Linked DNA regions of Alligator mississippiensis. Each later gene encodes a partner of the first gene's protein in a complex. Links are inferred from orthologs where the notes say so. Each region holds a gene or a part of one and is shown on either strand. Other genes may lie near its edges.

The links.
Region 2: EIF3J (region 1) and EIF3F share a complex: the UniProt entries of both Homo sapiens proteins name them as parts of the eukaryotic translation initiation factor 3 (eIF-3) complex. The link is inferred for Alligator mississippiensis from reciprocal best matches to the Homo sapiens genes EIF3J and EIF3F.

The regions. Positions count from the first base shown.
Region 1 is NC_081834.1:1,714,894-1,722,187, forward strand, and holds the start of EIF3J (eukaryotic translation initiation factor 3 subunit J), read left to right. Parts: upstream 1-4,205; 5' UTR 4,206-4,287; coding exon 4,288-4,312; intron 4,313-4,385; coding exon 4,386-4,486; intron 4,487-7,294. UniProt on the Homo sapiens protein: Component of the eukaryotic translation initiation factor 3 (eIF-3) complex, which is required for several steps in the initiation of protein synthesis.
Region 2 is NC_081829.1:25,034,321-25,042,183, forward strand, and holds the start of EIF3F (eukaryotic translation initiation factor 3 subunit F), read left to right. Parts: upstream 1-4,803; 5' UTR 4,804-4,818; coding exon 4,819-5,131; intron 5,132-5,225; coding exon 5,226-5,296; intron 5,297-6,603; coding exon 6,604-6,683; intron 6,684-7,863. UniProt on the Homo sapiens protein: Component of the eukaryotic translation initiation factor 3 (eIF-3) complex, which is required for several steps in the initiation of protein synthesis.

The DNA.
Region 1 (7,294 bases):
AGCTGGTCCTTAATTCTGCTACACAATAGGGCAAACCAAAAGACTGGGTAGAAAGTCTTCTAAGCTTTGGGGGACTAAGTGAGCAGCTGGAAAAAAAAGTCCAAATTCTGGACCAAATTCAAATTTTGAAGCTATGCAACAGCACAGTGCTCTGGAGAAACTTTTTCTCTGAACGCTCAGCGTACTCTGTTTAAGTGCAGTCTCAACACCGACTTCTGCTAGCAGCCCTTTGACCACTGCTTTCCCTACACTGCTTCAGGCACTCTTCAGGTGGTAAAATCGGTTACAAAATATACACTGACAAGTTGGTATGTGATTAACTGAGTTACAAAGTAGTTAGCAGGGATGAAAGATGCTATGCACTTAACTGGTTTATGCACTTAACCAAGATGTAGATGAAAGATATTTGTTAGAACATGAGCAACAGGCAACAAATTGGGGTTGCCATTATGTTATGCAGTTAAGTGAATGGTGCACTTATGCGTATACATTGATTGGATATGCTTATCTGCATAGGTAAGTGGAGTAGACTATTATTTTATTTTAGGACATACCTCTCCATCCCAACTACTAAGGATAATATTTGGTACTTCTATTTTAAAAGGCTCAGGGCAGCTTATGGTAGAAAACAAAATAACTTATAAAAACAGAAAAAGACAATACAACAAAATAGTATAACTACAATTCCCTTGACATGATGTTCAAAATTTCAGAGGACATTACAAATATGAAATCCCTCCATGACCCTGAGAGGTACTTTTCCTTTCAACAACTTTAACTTTCAAATCAAAAAAAAATCTGGCAGTATATGCTGCCAAACTGTAATTGCAGATATCTTTTTTAATGGATATCCAGATGCTTCTATATACTATTTCTAGGACTTGGTAAAGAATATAGTTCATTTTTTGCTACTATTAAAGGATGCTTTGCTTGCTAATTGGCTTAACTCATATTTAGCCATAATTCAATATTTACTCAATTGAGTAAAAAACAAAACAAAAACAAAACAAAACCCCATAATGACTCCTAGCATAATTTAAACCAGAATTCAAGGTCAATGTGTTTAAAACTAAATTTACATACTTAGAAAATTTAAAAAGTTATTGAGAAAAAAAATCACTTTACACACCCCTTACCAATTATTAGGCACAAGCATCTAATGCTTGTGAAACCACATGCTTCTCTGAACCAGCTAGTCTGTAAGGTGCCAGCCTCCCCTGCCTTCTGCCTGACTTCAGACTAACACAGCTAAGCAATTATTTATGATACTCTTGATTATTAAATATCATCTTACATTTATAAGTTTCCTGATATTTTGCTAGGGCTCAGCAGGCTAGCTTTAGGTCCAACCAACTTTAGGTCACTGCAACAACTGTTTAACAACATACATCAACATGCTGCCATCAATTTAAAATGGAAAATAATAAAACTCTGAACTACAAGAGACAACTGAAACTCATTTCAGGAATTTAGGAAGGCAGATACCCCACTGTTTGAAGTCAGTCAAGACAGGAGACCTTGCCTCAAGTCCTACACTATGTCACTTTAAATACCATGTCACACAAATGACAGCGCCTACAGAAGCACAGTAGTGCTATGAGTCAGCATTGAACTCATGGTCTAGGACAGGGGTTGGCAACCCCACAAAACCACTGGATCCAGCCCACGGATGTGGGGCTTTGGTGGCATTCAGCAGTGCGAGGCTCTGCCTGCAAGTGCTCCCCATGTACTGCCACACAAGAAGGACAAGCGGTGGTAGCCGGTCCTAGCACCTGCCCAAGCACCTGACATGGGGTGTGTTGTTCCGCCCCACAGTGAGCCAGAAAGTTGCTTACCCCTGGTTTAGGAAAAGTAACGGCTACTGAATAACCAACACAACTTCCCACAGTACCCATGTATTCACTGGCTGTCTTCCACCTAAGTATCAGCAATAATCCAGCTCAGCCCTGCTTAGTTAAAGGAACTGACTAGATGACAGCACAAGCTGGTACAAATACAAACAGTTTAAGTCACCATCAATGCCGTTGGCTCTTCTCAACATCTTGCCCTGTTTGAACACTGTTAATGTGCTCAGTGAAAAAGCACATTCAAAATGGGTATGGTTTGTGTTTCCATGTTTCTTTCCTAGGAAAAGAGGAGAAAGGACAATAGTGACAAGGGAACAAGTTTCAATCTAATGTGCCATAAATTGGTGGGACTCCTGGGAAAGATGACACAAGATACAGCTGCTTGCACTATGGGTGAATTTGCCAGTATGAATTTAAATCTGATCACTTGCCTATTCTTTTCATGCATTTAATGGCTATATTTGTTTAAATTATAATTGGTACCTTTTATCCTACTACATCCCATATCTAGCACTTCTTCCTTTGATTCTGTGTTCATTTCCTCTAGATTGAGATAATCCGGCATATTCAACCGCAATAAAACATTGTGTGTTGGTGCCCTGAATGACATTTGCATCTCTTTACCATTATAATTGCAGGCTTATACTGCCAACATATTTACAGTCAAGGAGACTTGCATATGAGAGAGCAAGGGTAAGAGTGAAGTGGCTGACTAGCACTTTACTGTTTTACTTCCTAGAAGTTCATTTATGTATTTATTATATTAAGGTACTTGAGCTTTGCCTCTGTCTTTTCCAGAGGACAGGAGGAACCAGCACAGACTCAGAGATCTTGTCTTCATTAAGAAGTTTATTATTCATATATACACCACATATTACTGACCAAGGGAGTTATAGTTTTCAAATGTTAGATGATCAGAGCCTTGCCTCTCTCTCTGAACACACGTGAGAATGACCAACAGTATTGTCCACGCAAAATATGTCACTTAAACCAGGCCTGCGAAGTTAAAACACTGCAAGGCGCCTAACATGAATGCACCTGTTTACCCCCCGGTTTACCCCCTTGCTGTAAAGGTGCACGTGCAAAGGACACGCGGGTAAAAACAGTGTGTTTTCACGGTGTTAGCTCACGCACCCCGGTCAGTACAGCACCGCTGGAAAGGTGCAGGCAGGTGCAGGTGCAGGTGAACGAAGCCACGTCGTAGCTAAAGCTCCTCGTTAGACTGCGACCACAGCAGCTTCTCCCGGGGCAAAGCAGAACGCCGCGTCCACGCTGAACCTTTTGGTCACGTTAGGCAGGAGATTCATGGTTGAACACCGCGTCTTTTATTTTAGTCTCGGCAAGCCCCCCTCCGCCGTCACGAAAGAACTGCTTCTCCCACCCATCGCCCCCGGAAAAGGGGAGGGAGACCCCAATTATGACGGAGCTCCCAGCCGTGGACCCCAGCCTGCACCCGGAGACGAAGGACTGAAAATAACAGGATGCTTGGAGAGGGCCGGTCGAGACTCCACACCACGAACAAGGGTTGCTGGCCCGGCTGCCCGAAACAGGCGAGCCGACCCCATTTCAGCGCTCTCAGGCCAACTGATTCCCTACCTGGAAGACGTGACGTGAACCTTCGGAAGACCTGGGAAGCAAGCGCAGGATTCGGCAAATTGGGGTGCAACCTCTCCGGCAGGGTGCCCTGTCCTCTCTTCTCCCGATGCGCCGCTCCCGTCCCGTCCTGAACCCTCTCCATGGCTCCACCGGCATCACCCCCAGCCGGGCCCGGCCTGGCCTGGCCTGGCAAGGGCAAGGACAGCTGTCCTGTGGGGACTGCCTGCGCCTCCCACGGGGACGTTCAACAAAGGTGGCAAACTCCAAACCGAGGGAAGGCCCCGGGGTGCCCGCCCCACCCCGCGTAACCGCCAGGAAACCGGGACCCCGCCAATAAAAAAATCCCAATTTTGGGGGCTAAAAAAACCCAACTAACCCCCCCAAAATCCACGCTTAAAATGAAACGCTGCTATATAGGCATCTCTATATTAGTGGCGCTTCATTTTAAAGCACAGGAAACGTGGATTTGGGGTTACTTTTTTTTTAAATCTAAAAACTTGAGGGGCTCAGCTCGCTCATGGCTACGAGCTGCCCCAGACCCACAGGCCCCCTCAGTGGGGGGGGGAGCCTCAGAGACCCCTTTTGAGGGGGGGGCCCAGCCCGACAAACCCCCCTCAGTGGGGGGAGAGGGGGGGCAAGCCTCAGGGACCCCCTCACGGGAGGCCGCCTCAGCCCCGCAGAGGGGGAGGGCCCTAGAGACGAGACCGCCCCGCCCCCCGCTAGCCCCGCCCCCCCGGCGGCCATTCCGCCGCTATCCCGGCATGCCCCGCGCGGCGCGCGGCGAGTCACGGCCCGGCGCGGCGCTCCCTTCTTCCTCCCTTCCCCCCCCCGTCCGCGAGGCAAGATGGCGGCCGAGGCGGACTCGTGGGGTAGGTGCTGCTCCCGCCGCCGCCCCCCGCCCCCCTCCTTCTGCCCCCGCTCACCCGCTCTCTCCCCTCACAGACGCCGACACTTTCGAGGCGGCGGATCCGGCCGCCAAACCGCTGGTGCCGGGCGTGGGCGTCGACCGCTGGGCCGGCGAGGATGAGGAGGACGACGTGAAGGTGCGCGCGGGGGGGGCGGGCACGCGTGTCCTCGAGCGCGGCCCGGCCCGGCCCGGCCCGTCCTGTCCTCTCCCGTGGGGCCGCCTGCCCCGGGGGGGGGCCGGGCTGCGCTCGGGCCGTGTGTGTGCGTATAGGTGTGCATACGTGTGTGTGTAGTGCGTGTCTAGGGGTGGAGGTGTGCATACGTGTGTGTGTGTAGTGCGTGTCTAGGGGTGGAGGTGTGCATACGTGTGAGTATAGTTGCATACGTGTGTGTATAGGCGTGTCTAGGGGTGTAGGTGCATATGTGTGAGTAGTTGCATACATGTGTGTATAGGCGTGTCTAGGGGTGCAGGTGTGTGAGTATAGTTGCATACGTGTGTGTATAGGTGTGTCTAGGGGTGCAGGTGTGTGAGTATAGTTGCAAACGTGTGTGTATAGGCATGTCTAGGGGTGTAGGTGCATATGTGTGAGTAGTTGCAAACGTGTGTGTATAGGCGTGTTTAGGGGTGCAGGTGTGTGAGTATAGTTGCATACGTGTGTGTATAGGCGCGTCTAGGGGTGTAGGTGCATATGTGTGAGTAGTTGCAAACGTGTGTGTATAGGCGTGTTTAGGGGTGCAGGTGTGTGAGTATAGTTGCATACGTGTGTGTGTATAGGCGTGTCTAGGGGTGTAGTTGCATACGTGTGTGTGTAGGTGTATTGGGGGGGTGTAGTGTGTGTGTGTGTGTGTGTGTTTAGGGGTGTGCGTGAGACCAGAAGTCGGCGCTCACAGGCCGGTTTCCAAGCAGCGGGACCGGGTGCGAGATCTGCCCCCGCCCCAGGGCGATCGTGCGTCCTGTTCGCTACCGCTCCGAACTGCACGGCTCGTGGACGACAGTGCGGCGCGGTGCGGCGGGGCTGGGCTCGCTCTGCTGTCCCGCGCGTCTGTCGATGCTGGACCGTCCGGGCAGGTTTGGACAGGGGCGACCCTGCCTCAGGCAGGGGTTTGGACTAGAAGGGAGCCCTACTCCTCTTGCCATCTTTAGTGCTTTGGACGCTTGCACATGAGATGTCGAGCAAAACTGCGCAAGGATATTCTGGGGGGCAGATGTCCGTGAACTTTCTTTTTTCTCTCCTATTTCTACCTTCCTGCTTCGGAGCCAGCGCCCGGGTGCTCACGTCTCTGAAGGTGTCTCGTTTTCTAGAGTACAGAGAAACACTGTCTGTTCTCAGTTTTTTGTGGGTCTCCCCATAGCGAGTTGCTTTATGGTTTCCCAGCTGGTGTTAATCTCGTGCTCCCCGCTGAAGAGCGTGTCACATCCTGTTGGACGGGACTTTGGCCTAGAGAAGCGATGAGACGGGGGTGACGGCCAAAGGGAGATATAAGCAACTGGGCTTGGCGCTGAGAAGGGACTATCTGGAGCCACCGTCTGCTGGCTAGGAACGGTCCCTGCCCTTGCAGTTGTCTTTTAGCCCTAAGACCGCCCTTCCCCGGGAAACCAGACAGCCCTTCAGTGCTACGTAGGATTAGGTGATGAGATGCGACGTAGTGACTTGAGGTGGTTCTCGGAGCTGATTTCGCTGTTTCCTGCGTTTGAGTGTGAATTGTCGCAGATTTCCAAGCCGTAGGAGGGGACGTTCTGTATTTGAAGTTGAGGCCGCTTTGTTTTGTGCACGTCGGTGAACGAACATTGGTAACTTAATACCTAGAATTAAACACTGAATTTAGGTTACTGAGAGATTGCTGTAGACAGTCTTATTATTGGTGACTAGATGATGAAAGAAGTGTGTTCCTCCTTTCTGGTTCGCCCGGACACGGGTGCAAGTAGGTCCTGCTCTAACCTTGATTAGGGTAATTGGTGCTTGCTAGTTGTGGGCTCCAGCACTACTTTTGCTGTTCAGGTTGCAGCCAGGGAAGCATTCGATAGGGGCATACTTTGGCTTTTACAGAGGTGGGGCCTCTGGGTGGGGTGGAGAGAAGCATCTTGCAATAGGGAGGTGCCAGGTGAGTGCAGCACCTTGCTACTAGGGTGTGTCAGGTTGGGGAGCATATTGCACAGCCTGGGGCATTCGCCCCTCCTGCCTCCCCTCTGCCCCACCATTGTCTGCGCTAACTGCCGGACCTTGTGTACGAAGTGTACGGCTGTGTCAGAGTTGCCCATAGCTTGGGTTAGGTGCTGCTTGTAATGAAGACATTAAGAAAACCAAAGTGAACGGTCTCTGTACTATCTTCATTAGGGGTGCACCGATAGAGGTTTTTTGGGGTGATAGCAAAGGCCAATTTTTAAGGAGCCATATCAGCTGATACCGATCTGATTCCAACAAGCATCCCAGCAGCTTGGAGACCAGCAGCAGGCTGGTAAGTCAGGTGGGGGGAGGGAAGGAGCATGGGGGGGTGCCCCTGCGGTGAGAGGGAGTGGGGCAAGGGCAGGCGCTGTTCAGCCAGGGCGGGGCATGGGACGGAGCCATGAGCAGCTCGTGCAGGGGGGATGGCTTTTGCCACTGCGCGCACCCCAGGAGGGCATGGGGAGCATGTGTTCCCAGATCTGTCTGGTGGGCCAGGCTGCAGCTGTGGGCTGGGGGCAGAGGGGGCTGGGCCAGACTGCTCTTGGGGCAGGCGGTGGTGGTGCTGGAGGGAGATTGGGAGGAGGCTATGAGAAACCTTGGGGTGGCTGCAGCGCCCCCCCCCCAATAGCCCCACGCAGATCCGGGGACACTCCTCCCATGCCCTTCTGGAGTGTATGCAGAGTGGGAGCCACCCCAGTGCCCCCCAGATGAGCCGCTCACAGCTCTGTCCCATGCCCCACCCCAGCTGTGCAGTGCCTACCCTGGCCCCACTCTGTCCTG
Region 2 (7,863 bases), on another chromosome or scaffold:
AAATGAAGAGATAACTCCAATTAAAGCTAGCAGCAGAACTTCAAAGAACTCTAAGTTCTAATACCCATGTTCTATTCTAAGCACTAGACATACATTGTTGTATAGATAAATGGCTGAGCCACTATAAAAAAGCAATGGGAATGTGTTCTATGGCAGAAAACATATGTCTGGATAATTAGTGCCATTGTGCTCAAATAGTGCTATATGTGCTCTTTGTTCCTCTGTGCCACTGTAATTTTTTTTTGAGGAATGTAGAAGGTACAGTTTAAATTAATCTAACCTGCTTGCACTACTAGGAAGAATTAAGTTCTACTTCTTTCATGCCATTTCTCAAGTTATGCTTCTAATCCTTTTGGGTTATTAAAATTAAATTCTAAGCTAAGGTTGCAGTGAACTCCTTTAACGTGAGATAAAGCACTCTATCTGAACATAGACATGGACATTGAACACAGACAATGCTAAAACTGAATGTGCTCAGACTGAATATAAAAATGCACTGTCCCTGGGAATTCCCTGAGTTGTCCTGCATTTTCCAGAAAAACTAGTAAGGTGGATTCCCATGGTTTTTGGGGGGTTATTTTTTGAGAATCTAGCGGCTCCTTTCCAGCTAAGTATTACACTTTTTAACAGTTATGACTGACCTGAAACAAATACCACTGAACAATGAAAAAGTCATCCAGACCTACACCCTCTAAAAAACTTGAAGGATCCAAAATATTTGGTTAGGTAACTGTTACTGGAATTAATATTTTTTAAAAGGTTAGATTTTTCAGCATGTGCCAGTTCAATAACCTGTACTTACAAGCTTAAGATGCCAGAGATCATAATAAAAAAGCATTCCATACACTGAATTACTGAATACAACTAATTATGTCCCCAGCTAAGAAAGCACTAAGTGAGGTACAGATTAGGTATTACTGTGAACCACTTCTTGTTTTTTTTTAATGTTGAAAATCTATCATTTCTTCAGTGTGTTATCACTCCTCCTCCTGCTTCATTTTTTGTGAAATGTTTAAAATGTGTAAATGTGAAAGAAATGTGTAGAATTCAGTCTCTTCTACTTCAGTGAATGTTGTCACAACACAGTGATTTTGGTGCCTCAGCACTATGGAATTTTCTTGTCACATGAGAGCCTCTTGCACAGCGAAGGTTTTTGCTACCATTAAACCTCGTCTGCCTCTCCATTCACCAGCCCGCCCTGACGAACGAGCAATTTCTAAATCACCTCGGGTCGGCTCCAGCTGTCCGAGACAAATGTATCTGTCTCCCCCACTGTGATAGCATTAATACATTTCTCTCTCTTTTTTTTTAATACAAGCTCTCCTTCAAAACCACTCTCTTATTTTAGCTTAGATTTAAATAGTAACTAATGAGCATATGTACTCCTTTGCATGCTCTTTTTGAGCACCTAATAATGTCTCATTCAACTCTAAGGGTAAGGGACACACAAAGGCCCCAAGGTAAGCTGGTCTGTGAACCTGCAGCATGTGAACTATTCTGAAATAACTCTCAATGTGAACGCTCTTATGTGGTAAATGCAAGGAAGCTAACCCTAGCTTACCTCACAGAAATGTGTTTATGTCCTCATAACCTAACCTAAGTTGAGGAAAAATAGATTTTTATGTCAATTTGGTGTGGAATTAATACAACACCTCAGTTTTTAGAGACAAATGGAATTTTACAGTAGTATTAGTCCAGCATCCCCATGCAGAATGTTGGTACTATTCTATGTTGATTATTAAAATAGACCAATAAAGTTCCATGCAAAAACAGGGAAAGGCTTAATTTTTTCTTGTTAACCTTGGTTTGAGTCAATGAGTCAATGTTATGCTGGAGGTTGAGTGGCTTCAGGCAAATGTGTGGTTGATTAATGGGTTATTTCAATCTTGGCTGATACACACCCTAGATCAGCAGTTTTCAATCTTTTAAACTCAAGTCACCCCCCCTTTGACTCGAGGCAACCCTCCATAACTTTTGTGAATTGCATTTCAAAAACTAATTTATTTATTATAGTGCAGGTTGAGGAATGGAGGTAGGAAAGTGGCCAGGGAGAGATGAGCATGGGTGTGCACTTGTTCTCTTCACACTTGCTTATCTCCTCACACCTCATAGCACCCTTGAAAACCCAGTTCTGGCACCCTTCCTTGTAAGAGAGAATTACACTTGCCCTGTTACTATGAGAAAGCTGGGGAGCAAACAGAACTGGCAAGGGCCCTCAAAAAACAGGATTTTTGTGATTCAGAGGGATGAAGACTCAAGGGTGGAAAAGAGCTGCAAGGACCAGCAAAGAAAAACTCCAGATGGCAAGCAGCAAAAAAGAGAAGAAGCAAGGTCCCTGCAATCACCATTAAACCTGGCCTGAGCAGGGGCTGAATTAAGAAGGGATTGTAGCCAAAAGGCAGGCAGCTGGCAGGGCTGCAGAGACTAATCAGCAACCCCTGTGCTCAGACTGGATGATGGGTCTGGCTGGCTGGAAAGGGAGAAGCTTGGAGGAGAATAAAAGGCTTGTCCTCAGACTAGAGAGGGTACTCTGATCCTGGCTGGGAAATAAGTGAAGCTTCTAAATAGACTATGGTGGTACCTGGAGGTACAGTAAAAGGGGCCTTGATGGGTAAGGGTTAAGAGGTTTTCTTTGTTTTGGTTTTTTTCCTCTTCAATATTTTTCCCCCAAGTGGACCAAGGAAGGATAAGGATTTAAGTTCACGTGCATTTTGGTTGTGAATACCTGAAGGAGCGATGGGTTTTGTTGGATTTAAGCTAGCAAACACTGGATGACCAAGAGCAGCTGTAAAAAGAGGAGGCCACACTGTAGGTGCCGTAAAGCACCCTGTGAGTTTAACCCCCTACATGCAAAAAGGTCATAAAAAAACTTAACCAGTGAGGCCAGAAGGCTGGGAGAAGTCTAGAACCTGCACTGTCAGGCTTAGTCCCAGCTGTACAGCTACTGTTGAGAAACCAAGACTAGAATAAGTGGAAGAGGGCCAGGCTTGTCAACTGCTGGGTGTTACTACTATCTGGAAGGTCTAGTCTTATCATAGCCCCTTTGCTTAGAATGGCCAAAACAATAGGAAAGAAAAGTAGTTAGCCATATTTAGGCTGGAGTCAGGCAAAAGGCAGGGTAGATTAGAACTATATAGACTAACTACATCAGGGATGTATAGCATAAGCAATGGCTTTTGAAATGAACTTCTGTTTATGAAAGCTTATGTTATGCACCTCTGACTTGGTCTATAAGGTGTAAACTCACTCTAATTTGTGCAAAACAATAGAAGCCCCTGCATGTACATTTGGATAGCGTTCCAGATTTAACCATGGCTAGCTGTGTAGGCTGACTGACTTGAATGAAAGTCAGGAGTCAGCAGAAGCATTGATGGCTGACCATGAAACAAAGCAAAAAAATGAATCTTGTCAGTTTTGTGCTACTTGGAAAGATAGTTGTTTCATCCCACCACATTCAAGAAAATGGGACACAGGGGGGCACATGCCCCCTGAGACTGGCCACTGCCAAAGCTGCCACAGGCTTCTGTAGGTCATTACTGCCCCTCCCCTCGCTGCTGACATGGTGGCTGTAGGAGGTCACCACTCGCTGCTGCAGCCAGTGTAGACGATGGCTGTGGGCAATTGTTGCTCACCACTGGTAACAGAGCAAACAGCAGCTCCCCACTCGTGCCCTTCCCCCCCCTCCCCCAAAACAAACCCCTCCCCACCAGTGGCAGCAGGGGAAGGAATTAACAGTCCTGTGCAATTAACCCCCACATCTCCCTCCCTTGGAGGAAAAAAACTATTCCCAGTAAGGATATTGATCCAAATAAGGGGATTTATTTTACTTCCAATGCAATGAAAGGTACTTTTTTACCCTAATGCAGCATAGGGAGATTTTGCTCCCAGAAATAAGTTCATGGTACAGGGAGGTAACACCATATAGCGATGATACTCCAACTGCAAGTTAGCACAGCAGTCTGTGTAATAACTTATGGTGAAAGCAGATGTTGAAGAGAAAGTATGTAAGAACAAAGATAGAAAGGTCAATGGGGTCGCTATCAAAATCAGAGGCTGGACACCAGAGCTTGGAGCATGAAGCGCTCATACGGCCTGGTGTTAGTTACCATGGAGGTGCAGAGTTGTGACTAAGAAGTGGTTTCCATTTAGTCTTTGGGCAGGAGAAGATTTCACCTGCACTCGTACCCCATCCACGAGGTATGTGAGCCTTGACTCGCTGCACAGACGGGGCACGCTCAACGCTCAGGAAAGGTACCTCTGCTAGTGCCAGGTAGCCTTCCCAGTACTTTCGCTGACAGGGCGGAACGGCGCTGCTTACGAGCCGCTCTGTCCAAGCAGCAAGGAAGAAAGGCTACGTGGGTGACAGGGTCAGTGGCCGGGGCGCGGGAAACCGGCTCGCTCTGCTGCTCCCCGGGAGATGCCGGGACTGCAAGTGACAGGCTCCCCCGAGGCGTGGCCTAGCGCGCCTGCGCAGACGGCCGAAGCTTCCCTGCCGTATGTCCCTGGAACCACCGGGCGCCCAGGCCCCACCGGCTCAACCCGCGGGCAGCCAATGAGCGAGCATTGACACAGCCGGGCGAGCGATAGGTTTAGTCACCAGCCAATCGAAAAGCTTAGGACGCCGAGAAGGCGGGCACAAGCGTGGCAGACCGACCCAATCCACGGTCTCGTGCCTCCTCTGCCGTCCTGAGGTTGGTTTGCGGCTGGGGTAGGCGGGAACTCGTCCTCCTCCTGCCCAATGAGAAGTCACCATAGAATGACGGGCGTCTGATTGAGCCCGTTATCGCCGGCGCGGTACTGCCCACCCCTCTCTGCAAAATGGCGGCGGTAGCTCCGGCGGCAGATCCGGCTACGGCGCTAGCGCCTGTCCCGGCCGCGGCCCCGGCGCCCGTCCCATCAGCCCCGGCGCCCGCCCCGGCAGTAGCGACGCCAGCAGGAGGCGCCGCCCCGACGGCGGCGGCCCCGGTAGCCGTGCCGCCCGCTCCGCCCCCGCCCCCGCTGTCAGCGGTGCTGGGCGGCCCCTTCCCCGGCGGCCGCGTGGTCCGGCTGCACCCAGTCGTGCTCGCCTCCATCGTGGACAGCTTCGAGCGGCGCAACGAGGGCGCGGCCCGGGTCATCGGCACCCTGCTGGGTAAGAGCCCGCCGGCCCGGCCCCGCGTCCTCGCCCCCGCCGGGGGCCTGCCCCGCTCCGCCCCGCCCCCCTCACCCCGCTCTCTGCCTTGCAGGCATGGTGGACAAACACTCCGTGGAGGTCACCAACTGCTTCTCCGTCCCCCACAACGAGTCCGAGGATGAGGTAGGTCTGGGTCCAGGACTCCAGCTCCCGGCTCCCTGGTCCAGCTCAGCTGCATGAGCCCCCAGCCCTGCCGCAGAGCTGTGGTGGGACAGGGCCGGGAGCAGAGGTGCCCCAGGACACCCCGGAGAGCTCTGGAGAAGGTGCTAGTTACCCCTGGTGCAAAGTACTTGGTTGCCGTGGCTGGGAGTAGGGGAAGGCAGCTGGCACCTAGGGGCTTTATGGGCTAATACAGATGGCTGATTGTTAACAAGCTGTATCGCTGCTACCGATCCAATTGCTGGTATGCTCTCTGGTAGCCTGGAGAGCAGTGTCTGGCTGGTAAGTCTGTTGGGGGGAAGGGGCATGGGGGGGGTGCAGATCAAGGCCCCCCACGGTAAGGGAGGGAGTGGGGCTGAGGCTGGGGCAGGCACTGCCCAGCCAAGGTGGAGTGCAGGACAGAGCCAGGGGGTGCGAGGTGAGCACAGGCTGGGGCCAGGGGCAGTGCTGGGCTCTTCCCAACACAGGGAGTTGGGCTGGAGCTGCTCTTGGGGCAGGCAGGGGTGGGGTGGGTGACCACAGCACTGGGAGAGGGAGTTTGGGGTGGGTTGTGACCACGCTGGAATTTGCCATAGCTACCCCATAACTCCCCAACCCCCACCGGGAAGAATCCAGCACCACCCCTGGGTCCAGCCTGCAGCAGCAGCCCACTCACCCTGTGCACAAATAAGGGGGGCTCATGTCCCCATGCCTCCCCCCAGGGGTGCGCACTGTGATGAGCCGCTCCCCACCTTCCTTGGAAGAGCCGTTTGCAGCTCTGTCCCGCACCCTGCCTGTTCTGGGTAGTGCCTGCCCCAGCCCCACTCCCCACCTCACCGCAGGGGCCTTGATTTGCGCATGCACCCACCTCCTCCCCCCAGCAACTTACCAGCCAAACTACAATATGGACCAGTGTACTGGTGTATCTCTGCTGGGAGTGCTACTTTGGAACATGCTGTTCTCTCTGTTGTGGGGGTCCTGACTCTGCCCTGTCCCCCATCTGTGCATGCACCTGGAGCATTTGGACTCCTGAGCAGGCTGGGGAGTGCCCAGTGGTGATGTAGAGTTGCATTAACAGGCCCTGGTGGCAAGTCTGTCCCTTAGTTTGATCACTGCACCACAGTATTTGCTCTACTAGGTCTGGTCTGGTAAATACCAAGAGATGGGACTCTTCTGTGAGGTGTGGCTGTTATCGTCATCCCTTCCACCTCCATTAAGCTGCCTTCGTTGCTCTTTGCTCAAATGGAAGTGCTCCTGCAGCTGGCAGCTTCATGCTTTTTGCTCTTTTTTAGGTTGCAGTTGATATGGAGTTTGCCAAGAATATGTACGAGCTGCACAAGAAGGTTTCTCCCAGTGAAATCATCTTGGGGTGGTAAGTGGTCATCCTGTACTCTCTTGCTTGTGTCTCTGGTATCTGGGGTTCCAAAGTGGTCACCCATCCCAATACTAGTCAAGTTCAGGACTCCTTAGCTTAAAGCTTCAGACAAAAATCTGCATTCAGTGTAGCATAGCTGCTGCACAAACCTATTAAACTTCTTGAAACAAAAGCCAATTTGCTGGTTAGCTGGTTGCAGAAGTGCTAGCTGTTAGCTTAAAAGCAAATATTGTTAACATGTATTAAATTTTGAGTGTGAAATAACTTTTTTTCAGTTACTTTTTCAGGAAATGTAGTTGGTATAGTATTCTAATTACTATTGTAGTGTTTTGAAGAAGTTGGTTTTCTGGCTGTATATGAATGGTAATAAAACTTTCCTTTCCCCATGGTGGAAAGTTCTTAGACCTCTTGCCTAAGCCTGCTGAAGGGAGAGAATGAAGTACATCTTTGACATTGTTGTCTGTGTAAGAAAGGATGGGTGTGTGTTTAGGGGTCTGTGTTTAGGATAGGGGTGGGCAAAATATGGCCCGTGAGCCGGATGCAGCCTGTGAGGCCATTCTATCCGGCCCGTGGGGCCCCTAAAAAATTTAGAAAATTAATATTTATCTGCCCTTGGTTCTTGCCAAAAATGACAGGAACCAAGTGCAGTAGGACCCAGGGGAAGCCTGGTGGGCTCTCACAACAGCAGGGTCAGCTCAGCCCCACCCCCTGAGCTGGAAGCCCCAGTTGGGGCTTCTGGCCTGGGACCACATGGTTGCCCCCGTGGTGCTGGAATCTCAGGTAAGGGAGGGGAGGGGGGGGCAGGCAAGGAGCCTGGGGAAAAGCTGTGCTGGGGAGGAGGGAAATGAGTGGCTCCTCCTCCACCCCATGGCTGGTGCCCTGCGCTGCAGCTACTCCCAGCCCGCTTGGGGCTGCCTGTGCCTGCCCCGGACAGCCCCGCAGGCTGCGAGCGCCAGCTACAGGGTGGGTAAGGGGCTGCTTCCCTTCACGCTCAGCACCTCCTTGTAATCCAGCCCCACTGCCAGCCTGGGTCCCACGCCGGCTCTGGGCTCACCCATCGGGGCTACGTGTGGTGATGTCAGCTGTGGCCCCCCCTGCTTGCCACGCCAGCCAGTGTTTGCCACCGCCGCCTGTGGGCTGCTCAGTGTGTGCCCAGGCGGGCAATAGCAGCCAACAC